Linked DNA regions of Oryctolagus cuniculus. The protein of the gene in region 4 purifies or fractionates together with the protein of the main gene of each other region. This does not show direct contact. Links are inferred from orthologs where the notes say so. Each region holds a gene or a part of one and is shown on either strand. Other genes may lie near its edges.

Region 1 (3,986 bases), on a different chromosome or scaffold from region 4:
GGGGCCCGGGGGCCGGGTTCCCCCCGCGGCCTCCTCATCCGCGGGCCACAGAGTCCGCCATCTTCCCAGCAGCCCCCGGATCGCCGCCGGGACGCCAACCCCGGCGAAGCGCTTGGCCAGCGGAGACGTGGCTCCCGGCAGGCGCTGCGAGCCAGGGCGCCGCGGGCCCCGCCCCCAGCTTCCGGGAAGTGCGCGCGCAGCACCGGGGGCGGGACCCAGGCTAGGGGGCGGGGCCACAGAACCAAACCCCGAAGCCGCGGCGACCGGAGCAGAGAAGGGAAGTTAGTCGCCGGCGGGTTGGACAGGGCCGAGGGTCCAGTCCCGGTCCTTCCCTCCCTTTTCTCCCAGACAACAAGGGCTCCCCGCCTCCCAGCCCCACTCAGACACACGCCAAGAGTGAAAACTTCACAGTTATTTTAATCTGCACATATTTCATAGACCTCTGCCCCTCTCCCATCCCCTGCACCAGCCTACCGCAGTCTTTGCGTCCCTAGACCAGCCCGAGGAGCTGTTAGGGTCTACACATGGCCGGGTCCACAGGCAGAACACTAAGACGGGCCCAGGGGGGTGGCCTGGCTTTGCCCAGGGCCAAGGCATCGACAGCAGGTACCTGACCCCGAGGAGCCAACTGTCAGTGAGGGCTGGGGGCCTGCAGCCCTAGGAGGTGGCCCCGAGCCGTGGCGGTCACAGGCAGGGGGCTCCGCCAGCTCCCGGAGTCCTCTGCGGCGCAAGGCTGGGCTCCAGGGGAGCGGGAAGAGGCAGGCCGGAGAGGCGGGCCTGGGCAGGCAGCAGCTCCCGCTGTGCCTTGGGGAGCGAGGTCCGGAGGGGCCGGCGACGCTGCCGAGAGCCCGTGGAGGCACTACGGGCGGTACATGGCGAAGGCCAGGAGGCTGAGGAGCAGGGTGAAGCCGGCCAGGCCCAGAGTGGCGGTCAGGGGGAAGAAGGGCCGGTACTGGATCTGGCAGTACCAGAGCAGGAGCAGCAGCAGCAGCAGCAGAGGCAGCAGCAGGCTGCCGATTTCCAGCCCGGAGGGGCCTGGCTCTGACCCCGGCGGGCAGGGCGGATGCGGGGGCCCGACCCTCGTGGACACGTGGCAGTGGAGAACGCAGTTGGGAGGGAGGTGAAGGCTGCCCAGGGTCTGTGTGTCGTCTCCTAGCAGTTGCCCTTGGTAGATGAGCCGCACCTGCTGCTCCTGGCCGGGAAACTGGGTCCTGAGGAGAGAGGGACCTGGGTAAGAGAGCAGGCCTCAGGCAATCCTAGTCCCTCACCCAAAACAGCGCTGCCCCCCGCCCCCACACACCACCCGAGGGGGCAGCCTGCCGTCGGGTGTGATACGGGGAGCTGAGGGCCCTCAAGGAGGTAAAACCATCACTCCCACCCCCACTCCCAGTGGCGTTTCTCCTGCTCATCTCTTTGCTTACCTTTTCAAGGAGCCAATGGTGTCGTGAGGCCAGGCCCTGGCCACCTGCTCTGAGTCATTGAGGAATTTCAGCCGCAGCACTAGGGGCTCCTGTGGGGAGTCCGGGGGTGGCGGTGTTGCTGTGACCCCTGCACCAGGCTCTGGCTGTGCAGCTTGACCTCTGTGTCTCAGGCTGGGGGTCTCGGCCCCTGGGGACTCCCCTCTGACGCTGTCGGTGGCGGTGGCTCCCATAACTTCACCGGGCTGTGCTGCTGTTGCGACCCCTGATGGCTGGGGCAGGGGGTCGGCGCCCTCGGCGGTATGTGTCGAGACCCAGGCGAGGGCCAGCACCAGAAGGCAGGCAAGCACCGCGAAAAGGACAGTCACCTCATCACCCACCCCTTCAATCAGGGCCATGGCACCTGCCTTGCCCGCCAGGCTACCATGCTGGAAAAGCACAAAGATCTCATGAAGGGCTGGCTCTCTGCCTCCTGACCCACCCCACCCCAGCTCTTCCAATCCCTCTGCTTTCTTACAAAATGCAGACTGCTCTCCCAGTAGTCCCACACTTGCCTCCTCCTGCCCTTTCCCATCACCAAATCCAATCACAACTCCCTATTCTTAACCAACCCCTCAATTCACCAAAACCCTATCGCCTTCTGAGCACCCCTTAAATTCAAGCCCCTCCAAAGTTTTTCTATTCTACTGCATCCCAAAGTGTACCTACTCCTCCATCTACTTCACCCCAACGCTCATCCACTCTTATGTTGATACAGTTTCTCCAAGGGGGAAGATCCTCTACAGCTCCATTCACCTCGCCCCTTACCATACCCAAACCGCACCCGCGCGCGGCACGGGACTGCTTCCCAAAGCTTCCCCCACACCAAACGTCAAACTCCGCCCTTGGGCAATCTGGAGCCTCTAAGAGCTGCCACCCACCCAACTCGGCCCCCGCCTGGTCCACTCAACCCCCAACCCCCAACCCCCGTGGGGGCCCGACTGCGCGTCTGCTCGAGAAACCTCTCCAAACCCAGCCAGCTGCCAGACCCCAGATCCGGAATCTGGGACTTCACCCCCGCCACTCTCTCTCTCACTCACTCTCCTCCATCACCCCTCCCATCTTCCCGCCCCCCACCCCCACCCTAGAGCCGCAGGAGGGCAAGGGCGATCCCGGGGCGGGGCGAGCGGGGCCCGGCTGGGTCCTGGGGCGGCGGGGTGGGCGCGGTCACGGCGCGGGGACTCACCGCCTGGCTCCGCCAGCTCCATCTCGGCCCCTCGGGCACTTCCGGGCGGGAGGCGCCGAGGTCGCAGACACCTGAAGCACCCCTCCTTCCCCGCCGTCGCGGTCCGGAGCATTGTGGGATTTGTAGTCCCGCGCCGCGCAGTCCCCGCCCTCTTCCCTGCGGACCGACGTGCGGTGCTGTGCGGGCTGTTCCCTGACCACTGAGGGGCTGGCGGGGGCGGCTGTGAGGTTTGGGCGGTAGCAGGGGCCGCCTCCTCCGCTGCCAGCAGCCAGGGCATCTGTGGTTCCAGACACCAACGTCAGCAGGTGCACGTCAGAGCGCCCGTGTTGATGATGCAGTGATGAGAGCCCTAGGGAACTCAGGTGGCCCCTATCCCGGCTTGCCCTTATGTCAGAATGGATGGCAGAAGGCCACTTGGACTCAAAGCCCAGTACCCGTGGGCTGCTCACCAGGCTGGCTAAAGATAACTTCCCCAAGCTTCCGCCTTCCCCTGGCCCCCTTCTCCACCTTGTCCCTGCATAGGCTCTATCGTGTGCTTGGCAGTGTGGCCTTGGGTGGGTTATTAAATCTCTTTGAAAATAAATTTTGGGGCCTGCGCTGTGGCACAGCAGGTTAACGCCCTGGCCTGAAGCGTCGGCATCCCATATGGGCTCCGGTTTGAGACCCGGCTGCTCCACTTCCAATCCGGCTCTCTGCTATGGCCTGGGAAAGCAGTAGAAGATGGCCCAAGTCCTTGGGTCCCTGCACCCACGTGGAAGACCCAGAAGAAGCTCCTGGCTCCTGGCTTCGGATCGCTACAGCTCCAGTTGTTGCAGTCAATTGGGGAGTGGGAGTGAAACAGCGGATGGAAGACCTCTCTTTCTCTCTCTGCCTCTCCTCTCTCTGTGTAACTCTTTCAAATAAATAAATTAAAAAAAAAAGTTTCTTTTCTAAAACATTCATCCTACCTCAATTGTGAGGAATAAGTTACATGGTTTATTAAATGTATGTAAAATATTTGCCATTTAGTAGATATTTGCTCATCTAGTGTTAAACCTGGCACATAAATTGTGTCATTACAGTGTTATAATTTAAAGGATGTTGAGTCCCAGCCTGGCCTGGTCTAGCTAATCTCTGTGGGTTTCCTCTCCTTCCTCTGGGATCCTGTAGCCACAGAAACCTCATCTCCTGGATTTTACAGGCCAGCCTTGATTGAAAATAATCTACCTGGGGGCCAGTGCTGTGGTGTAGCAGGTTAAACCTCTGCCTGCAGCCCCTCATCCCATATGCGCAGTGGTTTGAGTTCAAGCTGCTCCACTTCCAATCCAGCTCCCTGCTAATGTTCCTGGGAAAAGTAGAGGAGG
Region 2 (3,500 bases), on a different chromosome or scaffold from region 4:
ACACAGGGATTCATATCGGACGCTACCACATTACTAAATCTTGGCTATACATTTCAAAGTTGAGTGTTTCAATTAGAGAGAGCAATTCTAGGCTTCTAATTGCACAAAGTAGTACTTCTCAAGCCCACTCCAGACAACATATACACTCCAACCCAATTTTGCACTAAATGACAAGGACTGCTCTACAACAGAAATGAATGAGATCATCTAATCAAGTGAGAAGCACACAGCTGAGCCACTAAGAGACAGGCAGGAAACGTAAACCTCTAATATGTTCTTTTTTCAGCTAAAAAAAAAAAAGTGCTACTTATACTTCCTGACATTTTACAGAGTAAAGGACAAACAACTTCAGTGCTTAGCACAGTCCTGGCATTCACTGAGCAAACACAATCATTACGCCATTTCTTACCAAATGCTACCTGCCCTCAAAATTCCTCCAAGAAAAGAAACATATGAATTAGCAAATCAGAAGAAAAAAATATTTACATCTACAGATGACTTACCTGTTTCCAGGCGAGTAGAATACTGATACAAGAAATATAAATTGACCAAATAAAGAAATCCAGTTCCTGGACCCACAGGGAAATAAAAGGTGGCAGTGATTGGCCTCCAAATCTGTCAAAATCAAAATAAAGACATTTGTTAGTTTTTCTAAGCCTGATTAATTTTTTTTCTTTTAACTAAATTAACCTTTGCAAAGCTTTCTCAAAATGATACTACCAACACAATTCAAAACAACTGAAGAAAAGTTCATATAAATTACAATCACATCAATTTGCAAACCAATGGATAAGCAATAAGTATTTCTAAACAAGCTCTTAAAAATCAATGTCTGGCCCTTTGGCACAGCAGGTTAAAGCCACAGCCTGCGGTGCTGGTATCCCATATGGGCACTGGTTCTAGTCCTGGCTGCTCCTTTTCCAATCCATCTCTCTGTTATGGCCTGGAAAAGCAGCAGAAGATGGCCCAAGTACTTGGGCCCCTGCACCCACGTGGGAGACCTGGAAGAAGCTCCTGGCTTCTGGCTTCAAATAATCCCAGCTCCAGCCATTGCAGCCATTGGGGGAGTGAACCAGTGGACAAACGACCCCTCCCCCTCCCCCACTGCTTCTCCCACTCTCTAACTCTTTCAAATAAATAAATATATCTTTAAAAAAAAATCAATGTTATAGAAGTACATGGTTGGGACAGGTGTTGGGGAACATTTAGGCTGCCTGTGTCCTTTATCAGAATGCCAATTTGAATCCCAGCTCCTCTATTCCAATCCAGCTTCCTGCAAATGCATCCTGGAACGCAGCCAAAGACGGGTCATGTGCTTGGGTGCCTGCCACCCATGTGAAGACGTGGATGGAGTTCTGGCGTGGCTCAGCCCTGACTGTGGCAGGCATCTGGGGAGTGAACCAGCAGATGGAAGATCCCTCTTTCTGTCCCTCTTTAAAGTAGATGATGATAAATAAACAAACATTTTAAAAAAGAATTACATCTTTAGTTACTGAGATCATACAACTAAGCCTATGACAAAATGAATTGCAAAGACTTCTTTCCCAACAGTACAATAATTTCATAATATCTCTATTTAGGAATGATAAACCTTATTCAAAAATGTCATACTCAAAAAGAATTTAAACAGGGATTTTTACTAAAAAAAAATTGGCTAAATAGACAAAATGAGCACACATGACATAAAAACCATTACCTGAACAAACAATACAGAAGGATCTGCAGTAAGAAATAAGCCTTGTTAACAACAACTGATGAGGTTTTTGTACCAATATTATTTTCAAAAAGTAACAGGGGGCTGGCGCTGTGGCATAGCAGGTAAACCCACTGCCTGCAGTGCCAGCATTCCATATGGGCACCAGTTCGAGTCCCGCTTCTCCACTTCTGATCCAGCTCTCTGCTGTGGCCTAGGAAAGCAGTGGAAGATGGCACCTGCATGGGGGACCTGGAAGAAACTCCTGGCTCCTGCCTTCAGATTGGCATAGCTCTGGCCATTGCGGCCACCTGGGGAGTGAACCAGTGAATAGAAGACCTCTCTCTAAGGTAGCAACGAGGACAGACATTTGGCCCAATAGATGAGATGCCTGTATCCCACATCAGAATGCCTGGTTTCGAGTCCCAGTTCTACTCCTGATTCCAGCTCTTGTTAATGCATACCTCAGAGGCAGGAGTGATAGTGAAGTAACTGGGTTCCTGCCACCTACGTGGGAGACCTGACTGAGTTCCAAGCACCCAGCTTTGGCCCCAGCCAGGGCATGTTGTGAACACTTGCAGAGTGGATGGAACAGGAGCTCTCTGGATGTCCATTTCTCTCTGTCATCGCTGCCTCTCAAATAAATTAATTAAAACAAAATTAAATGTAAGTAAGTGTATCCACCATTTATCAAGCTTATGAAATATTTTCACTCCAAGAATATCAAAGTGCTCACAGCTTTATTATAGCACTTTTCATAGTTCATCCAAGGAGTAAGGAGGAAATTCACCTTCTTTTTCTAGATGGTCACTCAGTTTCCCATTCCCATTGACAGAGTGTCCCATATTTCCTCCAATTACTTAAAAAAACTACTTTCACTGAATATTTATTCTATTTTATCTTAATGTCTATTTTAGACTATCCTGCTTGAAACTGAGGTCTAGACCAATACCAAGTTGTTTTAATCTAGTTCTATAATAAATTTTAATATCTGATAAAGTTGAATAGTTAAATCTTCCTCCCCTTTTTTATTTATTTATTTGACAGGCAGAGTTATAGACAGTGAGAGAGAGAGAGAGAGAAAGGACTTTCGTCAGTTGGTTCACTCCCCAAATGGCAGCTACGGCCGGTGCTGCGCCAATCCAAAGCCAGGAGCCAGGTGCTTCTCCTGGTCTCCCATGCGGGTGCAGGGGCCCAAGCACTTGGGCCATCCTCCACTGCCCTCCCCGGGCCACAGTGGAGAGCTGGATTGGAAGAGGAGCAGCCAGAACTAGAACCCGGTGCCCATATGGGATGCCGGCGCTGCAGGCGGAGGATTAACCAAGTGAGCCAAGGCACCGGCCCCTCCCTCCCCTTTCTCTTATTATTTTGTCTTATTTTCTCTTACTATATTGTCAATCTTCTTGGTTAGTCTCAATATTTTATTTTTCTGAATGAATCTAAACAATATATTGGTTATATGGACACGATATTGATGTAATTCCCACCCTAGAAGCTTCTCATAGCTTTTTTTTTTTTTTAAGGTTTATTTATTTATTTGAAAGGCAGAGTTACAGAGAGGCACAGGCAGAGAAAGAGGTCTCCCATCCACTGGTTCACTTCCAAAATGGCTGCAACGGCCAGAGCTCAGCTGATCCGAAGCCAGGAGCCAAGAGCCTCTTCCGGTCTCCCACTCGTGTGCAGGGGCCCAAGCACTTGGGCCAGCCTCTTCTGCCCTCCCAGGCGATAGCAGAGAGCTGGATCAGAAGTGGAGCAACCAGGACTCAAACCGGCACCCACACGGGATGCCAGCACTGCAGGCAGAGGC
Region 3 (3,500 bases), on a different chromosome or scaffold from region 4:
CAGTGCCGGCACACCAGGTTCTAGTCCTGGTCGGGGCGCCGGATTCTGTCCTGGTTGCCCCTCTTCCAGGCCAGCTCTCTGCTATGGCCCGGGAGTACAGTGGAGGATGGCCCAAGTGCTTGGGCCCTGCACCCGCATGGGAGACCAGGAAAAAGCACCTGGCTCCTGGCTTTGGATCAGCGCAATGCGCCGGCCGTGACGGCCATTGGAGGGTGAACCAACGGCAAAAGGAAGACCTTTCTCTCTGTCTCTCTCTCTCTCACTGTTCACTCTGCCTGGAAAAAAAAAAAAAAAAAGTCCACAGACCTAGAATGGGTACTATTTAAATCAAGAACTTAGATCACCGTGAATAAAACTGAAAATATTTCAGAGCAGAGAACATATATATTCTGGTCAAAGGGATTTTGATCATGTTTTTCAGAGATTAAGTATTTCCCTCATTTTTTTTTCACCTATTTTTGCTCATCACAAATGATTGGAATAGATGATTGGAAATAGAAGAAGGGAGGGAATTTATGGGTCTGTAAGCAGAGATAAATAGGAAACTCTGAAATCACCAATTCATTTGGAAAATGCCCAAAGAATGTCAGTGTCTGTTAATGGTCTATCATCAGTTGTGATCTGGAATCCGTTTGCATGTAGTATCTGGTATGGGAAGGCTGTGAAGCAAGTCGCTGGGTCTGAAGAAACAGAACGCAAGTTTTGTAGGTAGAGCATAGTTTCTGATATGACTTGGTATGTACCTTTTGAGACATTTCTGAGGTTCTTTTAGGAAATCTTAGTTTGCTAATATGTAAGATGAGATTTTTGGCAGGTATATTACATGCTAATGTATATAAATTGTCTGACCTAAAGCTTAGCCCAGTATTAGTTCCTTTCCCTTCTAACCTGGTGTCTTTTTATAGTCTTTAAAAACTGCCTTTTAAAAATACAGTCTTTTGGCCGGTGCCGTGGCTCAATAGGTTGATCCTCCGCCTTGCGGCGCCGGCACACCGGGTTCTAGTCCCAATCAGGGCGCCGGATTCTGTCCTGGTTGCCCCTCTTCTAGGCCAGCTCTCTGCTGTGGCCAGGGAGTGCAGTGGAGGATGGCCCAAGTGCTTGGGCCCTGCACCCCATGGGAGACCAGGATAAGTACCTGGCTCCTGCCATCGGATCAGCGCGGTGCGCCAGCCGCTGCACACCGGCCGCGGCGGCCACTGGAAGTTGAACCAACGGCAAAAGGAAGACCTTTCTCTCTGTCTCTCTCTCTCTCTTTCTGTCCACTCTGCCTGTCAAAAAAAAAAAAAAAAAAAAAGTCTTTTACAGCTGCTTCCTTCTTTTATCTCCACTGTTCCTTAATTAGTTCACTTCCTCTTTACTTCTTACCTAAGCTTTTACTTTACACTAATTGTCTTAGATTCTCCCTGTGTGCCTCTGAACTCTGTGCCTCTCAGTTCATCTTCACAAAGACACCAAAATAAAAATTTTGTTTGCTCTTCTTAGTATGGAATTTGAGGTTTATCTATTAGTACTGCAAGCAAATGCAAGGATATCTGGAAAATTGAGCAGAAGAAACACATCAAAATTTTTGAGTTGTGTTTTATGTTTTCATAATGTGTATGAGGGATTTCAAAAACTTCATTGAAAGTTAGAATTGTGAAATTCATAGTATGCATTTTCCATGAACTTTTTGAAGCCCTTTGGTTTATTACTTTAATATTTATCCTGAATCTGAGAAACCTGGGTGCTTTTGGGTGAAACAAACCTGGGTTGTACCTCTCCTTCAGTGTTTGATATCGTGAGGAACTACACTGCAGATTATGATAAGACCTTAATCTTCAATAAAATCCACCATGAGCTGAACCAGTTTTGCAGTGCCCACACACTTCAAGAAGTTTACATTGAATTGTTTGGTAAGTAATAGCCTATTGGATATCTTGTAAAACTCATTTATCAATGCTGTAGTAGTATACCTTATGCTATGATAATTTCTTTTGAGTTTATAATAAAGCAATTATATAACTTGGTAGAGATTAGAGTAACTTCATTTACTCACTGTGTTGTGTTATGTTAACTTAATGACATTAGCTTTATTACTACTTAGTAGATAATTTGAGGAAATTTAGTTTCTGGGCTCCCCAAATTCCCCCTTCTCCCCCTACACCAAGTAATTTCGTAGGAAGACTGACAAGACTCAGCATAAAGTTATATTCATGACTACAATTTATTACACCCAAAAGATGAAAAGTGAAATCAGCAAAAAGAAAAGGCATATAGGTAAAGTCTGAAGGAAACCAGACACAGGCTTCCAAGAGTCCTCTCACAGTGAAGTCAACACAGGTTGTATTGAATTCTCCTGGTAACAAGTTGTGACAACACATGGGAAATGTTGTCTACTGAGGAAGTTCATTAAAGACTCAGTCTTGGCCGGTGCCGTGGCTCAATAGGCTAATCCTCCGCCTGCGGCGCCGGCACACCGGGTTCTAGTCCTAGTCCCGGTTGGGGAGCCGGATTCTGTCCCGGTTGCCCCTCTTCCAGGCCAGCTCTCTGCTGTGTCCCTGGAGTGCAGTGGAGGATGGCCCAAGTGCCTGGGCCCTGCACCCACATGAGAGACCAGGAGAGGCACCTGGCTCCTGCCATCGGATCAGCGCGGTGTGCTGGCCGCAGCAGCCATTGGAGGGTGAACCAACAGCAAAAGGAAGACCTTTCTCTCTGTCTCTCTCACTGTCCACTCTGCCTGTAAAAAAAAAAAAAAAAAAAAAAAAAAACTCAGTGTTGGGGCTGGCCCTGTGACATGGGGCCCGTGTTGTGACATAGCAGGTAAAGCCACTGCCTGCAGTGCCCGAATCTCATATGGGCACTGGTTCAAGTCCCAGATGCTCCACTTCCAATCCAACTCTCTGCTATGGCCTGGGAAAGCAGTAGAAGATGGCCCAAGTCCTTGGGCCCCTGCATCTGCATGGGAGGACCTGGAGGAAGCTCCTGGCTCCTGATTTGGATTGGCGCAGCTCCAGCCATTTTGGCCATCTGGCAAGTAAACCAGCAGATGAAAGACCTCTCCCTCTCTCTCTGTCTCTCTTTCCCTCCCTGTGTAACTCTGACTTTCAAATAAATAAATAAATCTTTAAAAAAAACAAGACTCAGTGCTGTGAGTGTTGTTGAGGTCTGGTCACATAGGTGTACCCTCTGCCAACCGATACTAAAATTCCTGTCTCCCAGGAGAAAAGCAGATGTTCAGGGTAAACCACATTGTTTATGTCAATGGTTTAGGGACCGTGAGCTTCTTGTATCAATTCAGGGGATGCCAGGGACCCTCCCCAAATCCAGGTTCCCAGCTGCCAACTAAGGGCCAGTTAACAAATAGGCCTTTGTAAGTAAGGACTGCAGTCTCAGGTCTTCGCATGAACTCTGCTGCATCACGTGAAGAGATGACATTATTACTGTACATTCTGTGTGTGTTTCAGAGACTTTTCTATGAACTTTTTTCCTTTCTTTTAAAATCCAAAGGTAAATGTAAGATT
Region 4 (4,292 bases):
GCTGGATTCAAACATCCTTCATTCAAAGACTTTCCTTGAGGTCTTTCCTAGGCAGAATTTCTCTTTCCTCCAAACTCCATCATGTTTTGTTTATGCATCTATTATCACGAAATTTTGTCTTGTTATTTGTAGCATTTTGACAGTAGGGGAAACCTATGCCCTCCAGAGTACCCAGAAGGGCCCTTCTGAAAGGTTCTGAATTGAATTTGTTAATCAAAAACCTCCTGAAATGCTCAGGCCCATATTATTCTAACTTGTATTCCAACAAAAAATAAGTTTTAGAGGTTGCAATATTCTAAATAAGAGCTAGCAGGATTTGCTAACTGGCAGAAGGATCAGGTTTTGTTTTGTCTTCCTTGGCCTTGGCTGTGTTTTAGAAAAATTTCATCTGAATGCCTATGAGCAGGGCCCAGGAGCATCCTTGCTGACAAAAGCCGCCCACGTTTCCTCAATACTGGTATCTGTTGGGTAACAATGGGGAAGGCTTCTGAGACCCTACCTTCCACTCAGCTGCACAGGGACAGGCAATGAGCGATGGAGAGCACTCCTAGTGCACACGTGAAGGGTTGAGAAGGCAAGGAGGCACACAAGGACACAGGAAAATCCCACAGGAAAGATGGGAGAAAATCAGAATGAGGATCCACTGAGAACTGGAAATACTACCCAGAGGGAGGAAAAAGTGGCAAATCTGCATAAATTAATACCTCTAGGAAAAATAATTTCCACAGAAAAAGCAAAAGGCTTTCTGTAATGTTTTATGAAGAGATATTAACCTTGAAAGTTGAACCCTGGTATGGTAAGAAGAAACTTCTGGGGGGAAAAGTCATTAAACAATACTTGCAGTTGTTTAAATACAATGGTGGTTCCTTCTCAAAGGCTTACTTATATCGTAGAATGAAAAAATATATCAAAGACTACATCATAATCTTAACAGCTGGCAAAAGCACTCTTCACATCGCTTAGCTGTTTACCTGCTAACTCAAATGCAAAACCAGGCTCGAAATTAAGAGATGTGAGTTCTCTTCTCCCTCTATGGTCGGTATGACTGAGCTTCACCCAGAACTTCACCCTTCACTGCCTTCTATTAAACTCTGCTTAATTCACAGCCCCCAGAGTTCACAAATCCCACTGCTTCCTGATGAAGCACAGTGGGAATAATTAGAACCAATGAGTTGCATATCACTCTACAAACTTGGAATATTAATCTCTCCCTCGTTTCCAGCCTACTCTTTCCCCCAAATGAGAGATCTGCAGAGGCAAACAAGACTCAAGACACCATACTAAATCCAAGCGACAGACTAAATCCTGGAGCAACTTTCCTCCTTACTGTGGGGTTTACAAGAAGAGGTATTCAAGACCAAGGCGAAAGCAAAATTCTTTAGCCAAAACAACAGAACTGTTGCTCTAGCAGTCTGAAGTCATCGTTCTCGTAACCGAAACCAGCATGGACACCTTGAAATGCTGCTTATCTTGCAGGGGCAGACGAACTGGAAACCTTGCTTTAAAATGGAGCCCCCAAAAAGAGAACTTCTGAGTGAGAATGAGCGGCGTGCCTCTTCACTCTGAATGTTTGCTGCCTTCGGACATCAAAGGAAACCGTCACGAATCGTCAGGTACGAGCAGCAGGACAGGAAGCACCGTTTGTCTGAGGTTTGTTACATCAAACAGCGCCCAAAGAGGACAAGCAAAACACTAAAGGCACAAAAAGTTTTGAGGAGCGCCTCTCTCCCGACGGGAATGCACAAACACGCCCTGCGCTCGGCGTCCCCCTTCCCCGTCCCTGCCCTCCCGCTCGAGCACCGCCACGCGAGGAGGGAACGGCGCTTCAACTTCCCCGCACCGCCCAGCACGCGGGCGGGGAGCCGCGCGCCCGGCTCCGGCTCCCCTTGAACCTGCCCTTCTAGGCCTCCGGGTACCCCTCAGGGCCCCTCAGAAACCCCGACCCTACCAGTCGGCGTTTCCTTCCACCCCTTCCGGACGCCGGCACCTCAGCCCTCGGCCCCCCGTCCTCCTCCCCGGGCCAGCCATGCTTCTCAGCACCGCCCCTCCGCCTCCCCAGCCCCCTTCCTCGAACCCCCAAACTCGGCCTTGCCCCGGGGAGCCCATCACCTCCACACCCGCGGGCCAACCCTCAAACCTCACCCTTCTCCTTCCAGGGAGCCCCCCGCCGCCCGGCCCCGCCCCCCACCCACCCCCCGGGCCCGCACACGGCGGCGCGGGAGTCAGGGGACCCCTAAGCGCCGTCACGCCCCCCACGAATAATGGGTGACATGGCGGCCCCCACCCCCACCCCCAGGCCGCTCCTGCCCCGCGGGCCCGGGCAGCGTCGCTTACCCACACGAAGAGGCTGTCCGAAAGCAGGTACTGGGCCACGTCGCGGGCCCGGGGTCCCTCGGGGCCAGGCCCCGCGGGCGCGGGCGCCTTGGGCTGCAGCGAGGCCGTTAGCGGCTCCTGCTCGCCGGGCCCGGCCTCGGGCTGGCTGAGGGCGCGGTAGGCGCTGACGATGGTGCCGAGCAGGGCCAGGCCGCTGAGGCCCGTGTAGGTGCGGAGGCTGGGCCAGGGGAAGCGCTCGAGGAAGAGCAGCGGCATGGCGGCAGCGGCGGCCTCCGGACCCCAGGCCTCCCCGCGCTGTGGCCAGGCGCCTGTGGCAGCCTCACAAACGGCGCCCACGGGCTCTGGCGTCGCTGCTGCCGCTGCCACCGCCGGGCCGGGCCGGGCCGCTCCTGGCTGCTGGCGCCGCTCCGCCCAGCGCCGCTCCCGCTGCTGCCCCTGCCGGCGCGGAAGAGCCTCGGCGGGCTCGGGGCGGGCCGCCGCCCCCAGCGGGACGCGGGCGGGCCGGGCGCGGGGGCGCGGCCTTCGTCCCCCCACCCCCTGCCTCCAGCGCTCGCGCCGCCGCCTCGTGGGGGTAGGCCCGGGCTTCAGGCCCTGGGGACTGGCTCCCCGCGTCCTGCACCGACAGCCCCGCTGGGCCGGGCCGGCAGACGCAGAGGGAATCTGCTCCAGCCGGAGCCCCGGCAAGGCTCAGGCCCGCCGCTAGTGGCGTGCAGTCCTGGCCAGGCCACAGTGCCCGCGGACCGGCCACTTGCCCTGTAGTTAGCCCTGAGCACCACTGTGGGCCTAGCAGTTTAACTGGTGTCCAAATAGGGAGGTGGTGTTTGGGGTGTAAAAGATCCCCCCAAAAGAAGGAATGTTAAACAGTCTTAAGTGTTTACTAGTAGACTCTAGAAACAACCTGATTCGGCAGGAAATAAAAATGTGCAAGTGAGAATACTGACATGGTGCAACTACTTTGGAAAAAAAGTCTCCTCGCTTCCTCAAAGTTAAAAATCAGAGTGGCCATTTGACCTAGCAATTCCGAGAAATGAAAACCTTGTATCCATACAAAACTCATACAAATAACAGCACCATACTCCCGGTAACCCAAATGTGGGAACCCGGAATCTCCATCAAACAATGAATGGATAAATGTGAGAAATCAACACAGTGGAATATTATTCAAAGATGAAAATGAAAATTGATATAGGCTACAATATGCACAAATCTTGAAAGCATTCGAAATCAGAGCAGTGACACTGAAGTCCAAATACTGTGATTCCATTGATAGCAATGTCCAGAATAGGAAAATGCATAGACACAAAAGTAGGCTAATAGTTGCTTCCTGATAGGAGGCTGATAGCCAAAGGGTAATGATTTCTTTTTGAAGGGGTGTAATGTTTTAAAATTATGATGGCAAGCCAACTCTGAATAGACTAAAAATCAGTATACACCTTGAACAGTGAATTACATCTTAATATGTGACTTATATGTCTTTATAGCTGCTTACTACCCCTCCAAATGTATAAAGGAAAAAACTACCTTAAGTAGTGCCCAGCCCAGAGTGGATGCTGTTAAATATCTGTCAAATCTAAGGAACTCTCTAGAGGACTGAATTATGCTTTATGGTCTTTTTCTTGCATGTATTCTAAAAGTCTGTTCATTAGGAAAAACATTCTCAAGGTTCCCACCCACTTTGGAATTTTTCAAACACCTTGTTCCAGGTCTCCATGAAACAAGTCTGGCTCTACAGGGGTGCAAGGAGTTTACACCTTTGCTGGCGAAGCTTTTTCACACATAGCCTGGACTCAGTTTGGCTTTCCATCCACAGACATTTCACTAACATGCTAAACTTTACTGGCAAAATAAATAAAGGAAAGCTCTATTTGGGAAGGATAATAATTTCCCAGGAAGTGCTCCACTTTGCAGGTCACCACTGTAGCCACCGTCATTTTTAAACCACGCTGGCAATCCACATT
Region 5 (3,500 bases), on a different chromosome or scaffold from region 4:
AGCAGAGCAGCCGGGACTCGAACCAGCACTCTGATGTGGGATGCTGGCTTCACAAGCAGCCAGTTAACCTGCTGAGCCACAGTGGCCTCCCCTGCAGTTAACACATGTGTGTACTTTCTATAAATAGGTCATTTACTTTAGATGCGTGATCGGGGTCTACATTGTGAGATACAAATGCTTCATTGGTGGTGCTGTGTACTTCTTATTGCATCATGTCAGAGGCGTTGTTAAGATTGATCAGTGAACCTGGATACATAGTTCTTAATTTTAAAAAATCTTTTTAAACAAGGACACTCAAATGGGTTGGTTCCTAGGCTCCTTGAGCAGGAATGATAAGGAAAGGCCACAGTGTGGCCCCCCCAAAACAGACTGCACCCCAAGGTGTGGAGAGCAGATGTGTTGGAGAGGGGAAGCGTAGGGTCGGGGAGGAGGTCTTGGAGCCAAGGCCTGCAAGGCACCGGTGCTGCCAGCAACCTGCTGCCCTTCTGGGACATCATGTAAAATGATGTAACTGCGTGAAAAAGTGGCGGCGAGCCGGCCTCCTCTCCCTGCTCCAGGCGGCGAGCTGCTGCTTTGCTGAGGCAGGTTCCTGAGTGCAGTGCTCTCGTCTACCGCGGGAAGGGAAGGCAGCTTCCAGGTCTGCAAGGGCTGCAGCTCGTTGGTCCCTACCCCCTGCACTCTGGGAGCTGACATCAAGGTGGCCTTCAGGTGCTCCAGTGGTGAGTCCTAGACCTGCGGAGGCGAGAAGATGTGGAGCAGCACAGTCAAGGGGCTGGCGGGGGCACCCCGGAGACCAGGGAGTCTAATGCCTCATTTTACAGATCAGGAAAAGGTGGCCGGGGGTGGGAAGGGGAGGTCCCCAAACCACCTGGCAAGCTGGAGGCTCCGCTGAGGCCAGCATTCAGGCCTCAGTTCTCTAACGATGGCAGCCAACATTGCTTTCTTAGAATTTCTGGGATGTTGAGGGGACCAGCTGAGGATCCTTCATGTGCACCCAGAATTTTGAGCATCCCTTGGTCTTGGTCAGCTCCTGGCTGGGTTCTTCAACTTGGAGGTGGTGGTCAACAGTGGTCTCTCTCTAGCAGCCTTTGGCGGTCAGCTGGTCTGTGGTGGTACAGTGGCTTGAATACAAATGTGGTTCAGCTCCGCATGAGTCAGCCAGCCAAGGTAGCTCAGGCTGCAGTTTCCAAAAGAGGCTGGGCCAGAGCAGGATTTCCCGAAGCAGATTATGAGCGTGCCAGATACTTCAGGTGGTGTGAGGATAAATAGCTTTTCCTTGTTACATTAATCCTTGTTTTCCACTTATGGTAGAGGTAGTACTGGTTTTCCATTTAATTTCTATCCATTACAATGATATAAGCCTCTTCTTTAAATGTATTGAAGCTTAAAACAAAATGTGGATAGATTTAGACGAAATAATGTAGGTGATATTCCAACGTGGCAGAAAAGACAGTGAAAAAGATCACAGTGTGAAAAACACTGGACCGGATGAGCCTTCTGGTCCTTCCTAGTAACCTCCTCGGTTTTCACCGCTACAGGCATGTCTTCATAGTCTGGCACGTGCCAGTCACAGCCCTCCTGCCTGAGCAGAGTTCATTGCTAGTATTGGAGGCTGTCCACAATTAGAGGACAGCCTGAACTTTCCGTGGAATTGAACATATATTTATCACCTGGGTTCTCAGAGGAGCATGTGAAGATAACTCAGACAGGGTCCTGGTTCCTGTGGAAGGCCATCTGCAGGGTTTTTGTACAGGGGTCTTCAAAAGGCTCCTGAAAGTGCATATATTAGTAAGCTGCACGTATTTCAGAAACTTTACTGCACTCAAATAAGCTTTTCGTATTTTTCCGTTAACTTGTTGACGTATATGTGCGGTTGATATATTTGTGTAGTGTATTCGGGGCCATGTTCATGGGAAGTTTCGGAGTCGTTGCCCTTTGGGTAGTGTCCCACAACTGTTGTCCTTTGCAGACCCTTGGAAGTCTACCCAGGGCCGCAGGCACAGCCGGAGACTGGAGTTGAGAGAAGACGTGTTGGACGGGGGTGGTTTGGCATGGAAGGCAGGGGGTGTGGGCTGCAGAAGTGGGTAACCAAGGGCTCTCTGCCTTTCAGGATTTCCCTGGCAGAATCTTCACCAAAAACTTTGCTGACAGCCAAGGATGGCGAGCAAGGGGCCGTCGGCCTCTGCATCCCCTGAGAACTCCAGCGCAGGGGGCCCCAGTGGGAGCAGCAACGGCGCTGGGGAAAGCGGAGGGCAGGACAGCACCTTCGAGTGCAACATCTGCCTGGACACAGCCAAGGATGCCGTCATCAGCCTGTGTGGCCACCTCTTCTGGTCAGTACCCGCTGCCCCAGAAAACATGGTGCTGCGTTTGGGGGGCTGGTAGCCCTGGAAGCCTTGGAGCAGAAGACCTCCCGCCCATTTTGGGTCCTGTTAGACTCGGACCCCACAGGGCCTGCTGCTGAGCTAGATGACCTTGGGCAGATCATGCTCCTTCTCCTTTCTAGAGTAATGACACTCACAACCTTCTTAAAAAAGATTGATTTAGGCCGGTGCTGTGGCTCACTTGGCTAATCCTCCGCCTGCGGCACTGGCACCCCGGGTTCTAGTCCTGGTTGGGGCGCTGGTTACTAGTCCCAGTTGCTCCTCTTCCAGTCCAGCTCTCTGCTGAGGCCCAGGAGGGCAGTGGAGGATGGCCCAAGTGCTTGGGTCCCTGCACCCATATGGGAGACGGGGAGGAAGTACCCAGCTCCTGGCTTCGGATCGGCACCGTGCCGGCCATGGCAGCCATTAGGGGAGTGAACCAACGGAAGGAAGACCTTTTTCTCTGTCTCTTTCTCACTGTCTATTACTCTCTCTCTGTCTCTCTCTCTCACTGTCTAACTCTGCCTGTCCAAAAAAAAAAAAAAGATTGATTTATTTGAAAGGTAGAGTTAACAGAGTAAGAGGGAGAGACAGAGAGATCTAACATCCGCTGGTTCACTCCCCAGATGAACGCAACAGCCAGCACTGGGGCCAGGCTGAAGACACCTGAGTCACCCATGTGACAGGGGCCCAAGCACTTGGGCTATCTTCCACTGCTTTCCCCGGGCACGGTAACAGAGGGCTGGATCAGAAGTGGGGCAGTTGGGACACGCACCAGCACCCATATGGGTGGCGGCATCACAGGCAGCAGCTTAAGCTGCTACGCCACAACACTCACCATTTTGTGAGCACCTGCTACCTGTACTTTGCTTGCTTAGCCTATAGCAGTGTGGCATGGTAGTTATGAGCAAGGACTGTATGCCATAATTCAGAAGATGTCTCCTTCTGAATCGTGGCTCTGCCACTTTCCTGTGGATGAACTTGGGCAAGATGCTTACATGCACTCTCCCTAATTTTACTCAACTGTTTATGAGTATTAAAAGACTTGAAATATGTAAAAGGCTTAGAGGAACACATAGCATGGAGAAAATACTGTGTCAGCAATACCCATAGTAATTGTTACTGTAGCTGTTTTTT
Region 6 (4,261 bases), on a different chromosome or scaffold from region 4:
AAAAAATTTGAAATCCCTACACACAAGGGGTCTTCAAAAAGTTCATGGGCCGGCGCCGTGGCTCACTAGGCTAATCCTCCGCCTAGCGGCGCCGGCACACCGGGTTCTAGTCCCGGTCGGGGCGCCGGATTCTGTCCCGGTTGCCCCTCTTCCAGGCCAGCCCTCTGCTGTGGCCAGGGAGTGCAGTGGAGGATGGCCCAGGTGCTTGGGCCCTGCACCCCATGGGAGACCAGGATAAGCACCTGGCTCCTGGCTCCTGCCATCGGATCAGCGCGGTGCGCCGGCCGCAGCGCGCTGGCCACGGCGGCCATTGGAGGGTGAACCAACGGCAAAGGAAGACCTTTCTCTCTCTCTCTCTCACTGTCCACTCTGCCTGTCAAAAAATTTAAAAAAAAAAAAAAAGTTCATGAAAAATGGGTACTATGAAAGAACTATACAAGGATTTCAAAAACTTTTATACTAAAATCCACTTGTCTTTTAAAAAAAATATTTATTTTATTTGAAAGTTAGAATTACAGTTCATGGCCACGATGACCAGGTGGAAGCCAGGAGCCAGGAGCTTAATGGGTCTCCCACATGGACTGCAGGGGCCCAAGCACTTGGGCCATCTTCTACTGCTTTTCTCAGGACATGAGTAGGGAGCTGGACCAGAAGTGGAGTGGCAGAGACATGAACCTGTGCCCACGAGATGCTGGTGTCTCACTGATGGCTTTACCTGCTAACGCCATTCTGCCAGCCCCCAAAATCAACTCATCTTTTAATTCCATTTTCTACCAACTTTTTGAAATATCCTCAAAGATGCCCAAAGTATTTGTTGAATAAGCACATGGCACCAGCTTCCTAAAGAAGGGCCATTCCACCTACCCTCACACTGAGGATACACTTATTTCAGAAACTGGCCAAAACAGCTGGGGAGGGCCCCGCAGCCTAAGCCTCTCTCTGGGCAGCAATTTGGTTCCTAGAACTCAACAGTCACCAAAGTAATAAAAAAAATATAAATTGTGCCACAGGTCACAAAATATTACCTTCCTCAGAATACAAGTTGCCAATACACTAATAACCAATAACAGATTTATCTTGCCTTTTCAATTGTTACATGTATTTTTGGTCACCAAGGATAGTTCAAAATGCTGAAGAACAAGAAGCCTGAAGAATTCTACCCCTTTTTCCATCCCTTTCTTGAAGCTTCAGTTCCATCCATCAACAGTCATAATGGTTTTCAGCCCAAAGGTAGTAGGGAGACTATAACCACCTAGGAGATGTAACTCATTTTGGGACCAATCCATGGAAGATGCTATGAATCAAATCCCCAACCTGAGAGGTGGGGAAGTAAACGCACGCCTGTGGCCCTGACACCAACACACTCTGGGTCGAAGACATGCGTTCCCACCTTTTTTTTTTTTTGACAGGCAGAGTGAACAGTGAGAGAGAGAGACAAAGAGAAAGGTCTTCCTTTTGCCGTTGGTTCACCCTCCAATGGCCACCGCGGCCAGCGTACCACGCTGATCTGAAGGCAGGAGCCAGGTGCTTCTCCTGGTCTCCCATGGGGTGCAGGGCCCAAGCACCTGGGCCATCCTCCACTGCACTCCCGGGCCACAGCAGAGAGCTGGCCTGCAAGAGGGGCAACCGGGACAGAATCCGGCGCCCCGACCGGGACTAGAACCCGGTGTGCTGGCGCCGCTAGGCGGAGGATTAGCCTAGTGAGCCACGGCGCCGACCCCCACCATTTTTACTACAGGACTGCGACGCTGATGGACGCCAGACAGGTGCCTGTATTCCGACAACATTCACTTCACACGTATAGAGTTAAGAAGCGCCCGCGGAGACAAGCAAACGAAACATCAGAGCTTCGCGAAGAGCTGCTCAAATACTGGCTGCCAACAGCTGGCTGTTGCTGGAGTCAGGGCACGACCTCAGGGCTGTCCGGCTAACAGATCCGCTTTACCCAAAGTCAGCTAAACACCCTGGAGTGGCTCCTTGTTTAAACGGCTAATAGGAGTTCCCTCGCCACTCTGACCAGCGCTGCCGCCCCGATGGCCACGGCGACACCAGCAGCAGAGCACGGTCTCCGGCCAAAGGCTCCCTAAACTTCTCTCCACTCGCAAGCACTTGAATCGCCCGAAAACTCCTCAGACCGGGGAGAAGCGCGTCTCCCGACTCGGGGAGGTCAGCGCCTGACGAGGGCTGCACTCTGCCTGTCGGCGGCCTCAATGAATGGGGAAAGTGACGAGAAGGGGGCAGGCTCCCAGCACCGCCTCCACCGGGACGGCCTCTTCTTTCGGCCTGGCACACGCGCTACCGGGGGCATCGGGCAGGGCCCCCGGAACACCGGGGCATCCAGCCTGACCCCAACTGCCCAGCCCGCCGCCAGCATCGCCGGGGGGGCTCACGGGCGGGGGCCGAGGCTGGCGGCGGGACTCCGAGCCCACTCGCCAGCCAGGATGGGGGCGGAGCCCGCTGCCCCCCAAGGCCACCAACTACTGAGGTACGGGCTCGGAGATGGAGGGTCGGCCCTCCCACTTCCTTCAAGCCGGAGGGGCTCGGCTGCCCCCAGCCTCCTCAAGGAAGTGCTCAGGGGGGTGTGTGGGGGCAGCCAGGACGGCGGCGGCCGGTACTCACAAAGCCCACTGGAGCCGGTGCTGGTGAACATGGTCCCGCCGGGCTCGGAGCCCCCGCGGGGGACCAGGGGGAGGGGAACCGGAGGTGGAGAGCCCCCGGCGACCGCGCAGGCGCACTCCCGGCGGGGCGGTGAATCCGGCGCCGTGATGCCACTCTAGGGGACGCCCTCCGGACTGCGCATGCGCGACTCAGGGGCGCGCCCACTCGGTCTGCGCCCTCCCTTCCTGCTGGGGAGGGGAAGTGCGTCCGCCGCGGACGGGGTTCGCGTGTGCGGAGTTTTCCGACGGCTGCGGCTGCAGTTAGGAAAGGGCTGAGATGGAGCTCAGGGGTAACCCTAGGAGCCGTACCCCTGTGCCCACCCGCGCTTCCGCACCCTGAGGAGCCGCGATGGCCGCAGATTCCTCTCGGTCCTTTAACAGTTCCTCGGACGGGACGCCCGGCGCGTCCCACGCATGCCCAGTCTTTCCGGCTAGCCCGTCTCGGGTTCCGGTGTCCAGCCAAGGGCGAGAGGTCTCTGGACGCGGACGGAAGGAGAGCTGGCCGACGCTCCCTCCATATGGGACAGCGGGCCTATCCAGCTGTCCCCTTTGTCCGGACCCACGTCGGGCCCACGCGAGTGCACGCACCAAGCCCTAACGGCCCGGGAGGCCGCCCGCGCGGGGCGAGTCCAGCGCAGAGACCCTGCCTGTTGTCAGGTTAGGTTTTCTTCCCACTGCTGACTGAAATTGCTCTTTGCTAAAGTCACTTCATCTAAAATAGGTGTGAGCCTGAAAATTTTATTATACAATCGTTTAAAAAGTTTTTTTCAAAGAATAGGGGGAAATTGTCCATAGTACACGGCTAAATGAAAGGACAGGCTGCAAAAGTGTACAGCATACTTAAACAAGAAAAAAATGAATTTATTTGTACGAGCCAATGTAAATCTGAGATTCCCTTATTAACACAGTCCCCGCACCCTTAGTAGAAGTTCCAGGGGACCGGAATAGTCACATTGATTAGATCTAGAAAGCAAAAATATAGGTGCTTTTTCTTTCCTTCTTCAGGCTTGATTTATTTATTTATTTATTTTTTTTACAGTCTTGAAATACAGCTTATATTTAACCTTAGGTTAACCAGCTCAAATCTTTTGCAACCAAACGATTGTCCTTTATGTTTGCAGAAGTTGTCCGCTGGTGAGAAAGCCTGTAGCCTACATAGGACGGGGACTCGGTGTAGGTGTGGCGATCTCTGACCCAAAAAGGGAACCCAAAGGACAAAGCTATTTTCGTGGTACTGCTAAGACAATGCTGTCCCCACCCTGCCCCGGCTCACTCATGAGTATACAGTGGAGCTTTCCATAGTACTGGTGGAAGACCTGTGTAACACTCTGAACCAGTATTTTCCACTTGACCAATGCATGAGGTTATGAATTCATGCCTGGGTAAACGATTAGTTCAAGCTGCAAGATAAACCGAGAGGTGTTAGTGAACAGAGTACAAGAAGCTCATTGATAAGGCCTCAGGGTCCTCCCTGGAAGTACTTTTTAAGATACTACCATTTGTTGGCCAGTGCTGCGGCTCACTAGGCTAATCCTCCACCTGCGGCGCCAGCACCCCGGGTTCTAGTCCCAGTCGGGGCACTGGATTCTGTCCTGGTTGCCCCT
Region 7 (3,500 bases), on a different chromosome or scaffold from region 4:
AACACCAAGGCACAAAAGGCCGATTTTTTTAGACTCGGTAAACCAGTGAACACTATACAAATTCTACCCTTTTGAAATGACTTCTATTTTTGTGAAAGAGCCAAGTGGCCTTCAAGTTCAACTTCTCACAAATGGGTATCAACTGGCACAAATGTACCATTTTAAAAATAGCACAAGGCACCAAGATAAGTCTTCTGAGAAATCCTCAGAGTTTATCTCCGAGAGCGACAGTTCTAGCAAACTTTTTTTTTTAAGCTCACTTTATGTAAGCCCTTGAGTCAAGGTCAACTCAAAACAATCTTTAAATGTCTGCATTTAATTTTTTTAAGTGAAAAAGCTCAAATGTCAATTTATAGCTACTGAGAAAAACTGCTAAAATTATCCTTGAACTCATTTGCCTTTCCCCCTCTCTCAGGAGGTGTGTCCTAGGAGGTAGCACTTCTCTCTCAGCAAGAACAGGTGCAAGGCTCACCATGTGCTGAATGTCCTCTTTTCTGTGCCCCAGTACACCTGCCCCCCAAAAGGGCGATGTTTGCCTGCCCCCAGCTGCCTGTTGTGCCCCAGCTCCCCGCTCCCCGGCCCTGGCCTGAGATGTGGTCTGCAGCCACAGGCTCCCTGCGCCCCTGCCAGCAGACTGAGGCACGCGGAGTCCCCTCAGCATCACCTGGACTCACTCTTGATTTTGTTAAAAAAGAAACGCTGGTTGTCAGAGGCTGGGGGAGCAAGGTGTCATGGCCTAAGATCATCCAGATTTGTTTCTGATACTGCAGGAAGGAGAGAAACTCATCAGACACCTTTAGCCACTTCTCTGCTGGCTACCACACTGGTTATGTGAATCTAGAAAAGCTGTAAGACACGTATGTAATAGGAGGAGCTGCACTAGAACCCTGGCTTCTTCTAGCTCAAATATCATTTAAGTCTCCAGACCTGCGAAGCTTTATAATGTAGCAAAGAACCACGTGGGTACCATCACATCTTTTGTTCAACATAGACTTTCCTAAAATAATTGCTGCTCTTGAGTCGGAACTAGATATTTATGAACCCTAATTATAATGTATCAAGTAAAACAATCCATACAAGCTAAAAAAAAAAAAAATCTCCAGTGTTGGGAGATGCTTGATCATCGCACTTACCATTGCTAACTGCCGTCCTATGTTCCCCACTGTGACACCGCCTGAGAAAAATATACACGGGAGCCAAGAACGAATGTAGAGGAAATCTGGGGATGTATACCTGGAAGGAAAGCGGGGAGAGAGAAGGTCTGTGCCTTACCAGTCAGTGTCACCCAGTTCAATTCTGAGTCAAAGATCTGTGATGAGGATGTGCAAAATGCATTTAATCATAAAACAATTGCACATTATCACATCCCAGCACTACCACTTAATTTCCCTTAAGGGTAGTTTACAGAAGTGTATTTTTAAAATGCATCAGCAGCATTTTTGAGAATTTCATGTCTAAATCTATGCCATACTACATAAAAACCAAACACACAAAAAACTCCTAGGCTTCATGGGTGCTTTTATAAAACCAATGCAACAACAATGTTATAAACTGTAATATCTGAAAACACACACTTACTGATAGACACCATTATACACGAGGAACTGTGTTATCAGAGTAGCTAGAAAGGCTACAGTGATCCCGAGCCCAAGGCCACTTCTCGAACGATCAAATGTCCACCAAAGGCCCAATGACAGGGCTGCCAGAGTCAAGGACAGCTGAACATTATTGGCAAAATCCAATTTCTGGTGATGCTAACATTAAGGAAAAGTTAAAAAATTTTTAATGAAATCAAAACAAAAAATAAAATCATGAAGTACTTGTGGACTACTACTACATAATGAATCATTCACTATTCATAAATATTGCATATTGAGTTAAAAAAGGGGCTTGTGCTGATTGATTCCCCGGGATTACTGAGTCAAATGCTTTAAGGGCAAACTTTCTGAAAGCTATGTATAAAACTCTGCTGTTATTTTGTCCATAAAACAATACATTTTGGTAATAAGTCATCTGTACTCTCATTCTTCTGTTTTTAGCAAGCACTATCTTCATGCCTACACTATGACATCTGGCCCACAGCACTCTAGTACATTAAACACTTACAGCTGGTCATTACAATACTTCTTATCAACACTGCTCCTACAAGAGCTCTTATATACCTTTAAAACAGCAGGTGGGCAGATTTTAGGACTGACATCTCTAAAAATGTCTCTCTCTCCAAGTTGCTCTAAAGAAACTCATAGCCTGACCATAGATGATGGAACTACAGACTGTTTTCCTCAAAAAAATGCATTAGGTACACAGAATATTCTATAGAATGAATTTCATCTGTGCATGCCAGAAGTTCAAGAGCCATCTGTGACTGGCTCTTGGACTTATGTGGACAGAGAGGCAAGACACAGAGCCTTCTGGAAAGATGTAGCAAGAATATCAACACTCCTGCCTCTTGCCAGTTCTCTCTTTGCCTTAGGAGTCACCAAGTCTCACACTGGAAGGATGTAACACAGAAACATAAAGATGAATTAAAAAAAAAAAAAATGAACTCCTAAGATCCAAAAGAGAACTGTCTGAGAAAGGAGAGAATAAGTAAGCTCCCTCTACTACTGGTATTATTTCCAACTGTTTCCCTAAACAAACTGAAAAGACTCTAGAAACTATCCCATACAAATCCTACCAGGCATAAACTAAGTAATGTACTTTAAAATAAAATACTTGCATGATGTAATAAATACTATATATTCAATAGAAATAACAAAATGCTTCAGCATGTAACCGAAGGAAATAGTTTGGACACAGCACATTGACTTAAGGATACAGCACTGGCGTGGTTAATGCCAACGAAAACTGCTATACAACGCATGACGCTGGCCCACTCTCTCTTAAACTTGTGGGGTTCTCCAAGGTGACTGTCGATACAGGGGTACAGCAAGCCAACAACAGCTGTTTGAGAGAAAAGGGGACAGTATTAGAATACATGAGCTCAAAAGGATATTAGTTGCATGTGGTAATCACCAGTATTATTATCCAAACTAGTCCTTTAACTAGAAAGTTTATCAGCTACAACATAATATTTAAATTAAGGCTAATTTTATACTCTGTTCTCATTAAGTAATCTCCACCAAATATCACTCTGTTCTGAAAAGTTTCAAAACAAAATACTGTTATTTGGTTGAGTTAAACATGTCTCAGTAAGCACAGAAGTGAATCAAGCAAGGATTTACCTAGCCATATTAATGAAACGGACAGTTAATTTTTTAATATTCAATGGTCATATTTTCTAAAGTGCAACACCGAAATGACTTCATAACTTATCTATTTGCATCAACTGTGACTTCCACTTTACAATGAAAAGGTGAGTGGCCATGAAAAGCTGGGGCCACAAGACATACGCAGTTCTGACAGGTCCCTGCTGGGCCCATGGTGAGACACTCACAGTTTCGCTGAGTCGACTCGGACAGGCCGGGTCATATGCCCACAGACTGGCCTCAATTTGCAAG

Evidence for each region.
Region 1: the proteins of AMFR (region 4) and TMUB1 purify together in Homo sapiens (affinity purification with mass spectrometry; 3 studies listed by BioGRID and IntAct, with this or other methods). This does not show direct contact. The link is inferred for Oryctolagus cuniculus from reciprocal best matches to the Homo sapiens genes AMFR and TMUB1.
Region 2: the proteins of AMFR (region 4) and DERL1 purify together in Homo sapiens (affinity purification with western blotting; 4 studies listed by BioGRID, with this or other methods). This does not show direct contact. The link is inferred for Oryctolagus cuniculus from reciprocal best matches to the Homo sapiens genes AMFR and DERL1.
Region 3: the proteins of AMFR (region 4) and ERLIN1 purify together in Homo sapiens (affinity purification with mass spectrometry; 3 studies listed by BioGRID and IntAct, with this or other methods). This does not show direct contact. The link is inferred for Oryctolagus cuniculus from reciprocal best matches to the Homo sapiens genes AMFR and ERLIN1.
Region 5: the proteins of AMFR (region 4) and RNF185 purify together in Homo sapiens (affinity purification with mass spectrometry; 3 studies listed by BioGRID and IntAct, with this or other methods). This does not show direct contact. The link is inferred for Oryctolagus cuniculus from reciprocal best matches to the Homo sapiens genes AMFR and RNF185.
Region 6: the proteins of AMFR (region 4) and UBAC2 purify together in Homo sapiens (affinity purification with western blotting; 4 studies listed by BioGRID and IntAct, with this or other methods). This does not show direct contact. The link is inferred for Oryctolagus cuniculus from reciprocal best matches to the Homo sapiens genes AMFR and UBAC2.
Region 7: the proteins of AMFR (region 4) and INSIG1 purify together in Homo sapiens (affinity purification with western blotting; 6 studies listed by BioGRID and IntAct, with this or other methods). This does not show direct contact. The link is inferred for Oryctolagus cuniculus from reciprocal best matches to the Homo sapiens genes AMFR and INSIG1.

What each region holds. Positions count from the first base shown.
Region 1 is NC_091438.1:22,735,940-22,739,925, reverse strand, and holds TMUB1 (transmembrane and ubiquitin-like domain-containing protein 1), read right to left. Parts: upstream 2,801-3,986; 5' UTR 2,644-2,800; intron 1,847-2,643; 5' UTR 1,817-1,846; coding exon 1,422-1,816; intron 1,212-1,421; coding exon 860-1,211; 3' UTR 398-859; downstream 1-397. Other genes in the region: FASTK (fas-activated serine/threonine kinase), read right to left, coding at 1-38. UniProt on the Homo sapiens protein: Involved in sterol-regulated ubiquitination and degradation of HMG-CoA reductase HMGCR. Involved in positive regulation of AMPA-selective glutamate receptor GRIA2 recycling to the cell surface.
Region 2 is NC_091437.1:148,811,690-148,815,189, forward strand, and holds part of DERL1 (derlin-1), read right to left. Parts: intron 616-3,500; coding exon 504-615; intron 1-503. UniProt on the Homo sapiens protein: Functional component of endoplasmic reticulum-associated degradation (ERAD) for misfolded lumenal proteins. Forms homotetramers which encircle a large channel traversing the endoplasmic reticulum (ER) membrane.
Region 3 is NC_091446.1:29,940,169-29,943,668, forward strand, and holds part of ERLIN1 (erlin-1), read left to right. Parts: intron 1-1,766; coding exon 1,767-1,892; intron 1,893-3,500. UniProt on the Homo sapiens protein: Component of the ERLIN1/ERLIN2 complex which mediates the endoplasmic reticulum-associated degradation (ERAD) of inositol 1,4,5-trisphosphate receptors (IP3Rs).
Region 4 is NC_091449.1:40,178,867-40,183,158, forward strand, and holds the start of AMFR (E3 ubiquitin-protein ligase AMFR), read right to left. Parts: upstream 2,801-4,292; 5' UTR 2,590-2,800; coding exon 2,335-2,589; intron 1-2,334. UniProt on the Homo sapiens protein: E3 ubiquitin-protein ligase that mediates the polyubiquitination of lysine and cysteine residues on target proteins, such as CD3D, CYP3A4, CFTR, INSIG1, SOAT2/ACAT2 and APOB for proteasomal degradation.
Region 5 is NC_091452.1:24,336,346-24,339,845, forward strand, and holds part of RNF185 (E3 ubiquitin-protein ligase RNF185), read left to right. Parts: intron 1-2,110; 5' UTR 2,111-2,157; coding exon 2,158-2,333; intron 2,334-3,500. UniProt on the Homo sapiens protein: E3 ubiquitin-protein ligase that regulates selective mitochondrial autophagy by mediating 'Lys-63'-linked polyubiquitination of BNIP1.
Region 6 is NC_091440.1:13,393,923-13,398,183, forward strand, and holds the start of UBAC2 (ubiquitin-associated domain-containing protein 2), read right to left. Parts: upstream 2,801-4,261; 5' UTR 2,651-2,800; coding exon 2,620-2,650; intron 1-2,619. UniProt on the Homo sapiens protein: Restricts trafficking of FAF2 from the endoplasmic reticulum to lipid droplets.
Region 7 is NC_091438.1:13,099,333-13,102,832, forward strand, and holds part of INSIG1 (insulin-induced gene 1 protein), read right to left. Parts: intron 2,944-3,500; coding exon 2,819-2,943; intron 1,746-2,818; coding exon 1,579-1,745; intron 1,234-1,578; coding exon 1,134-1,233; intron 1-1,133. UniProt on the Homo sapiens protein: Oxysterol-binding protein that mediates feedback control of cholesterol synthesis by controlling both endoplasmic reticulum to Golgi transport of SCAP and degradation of HMGCR.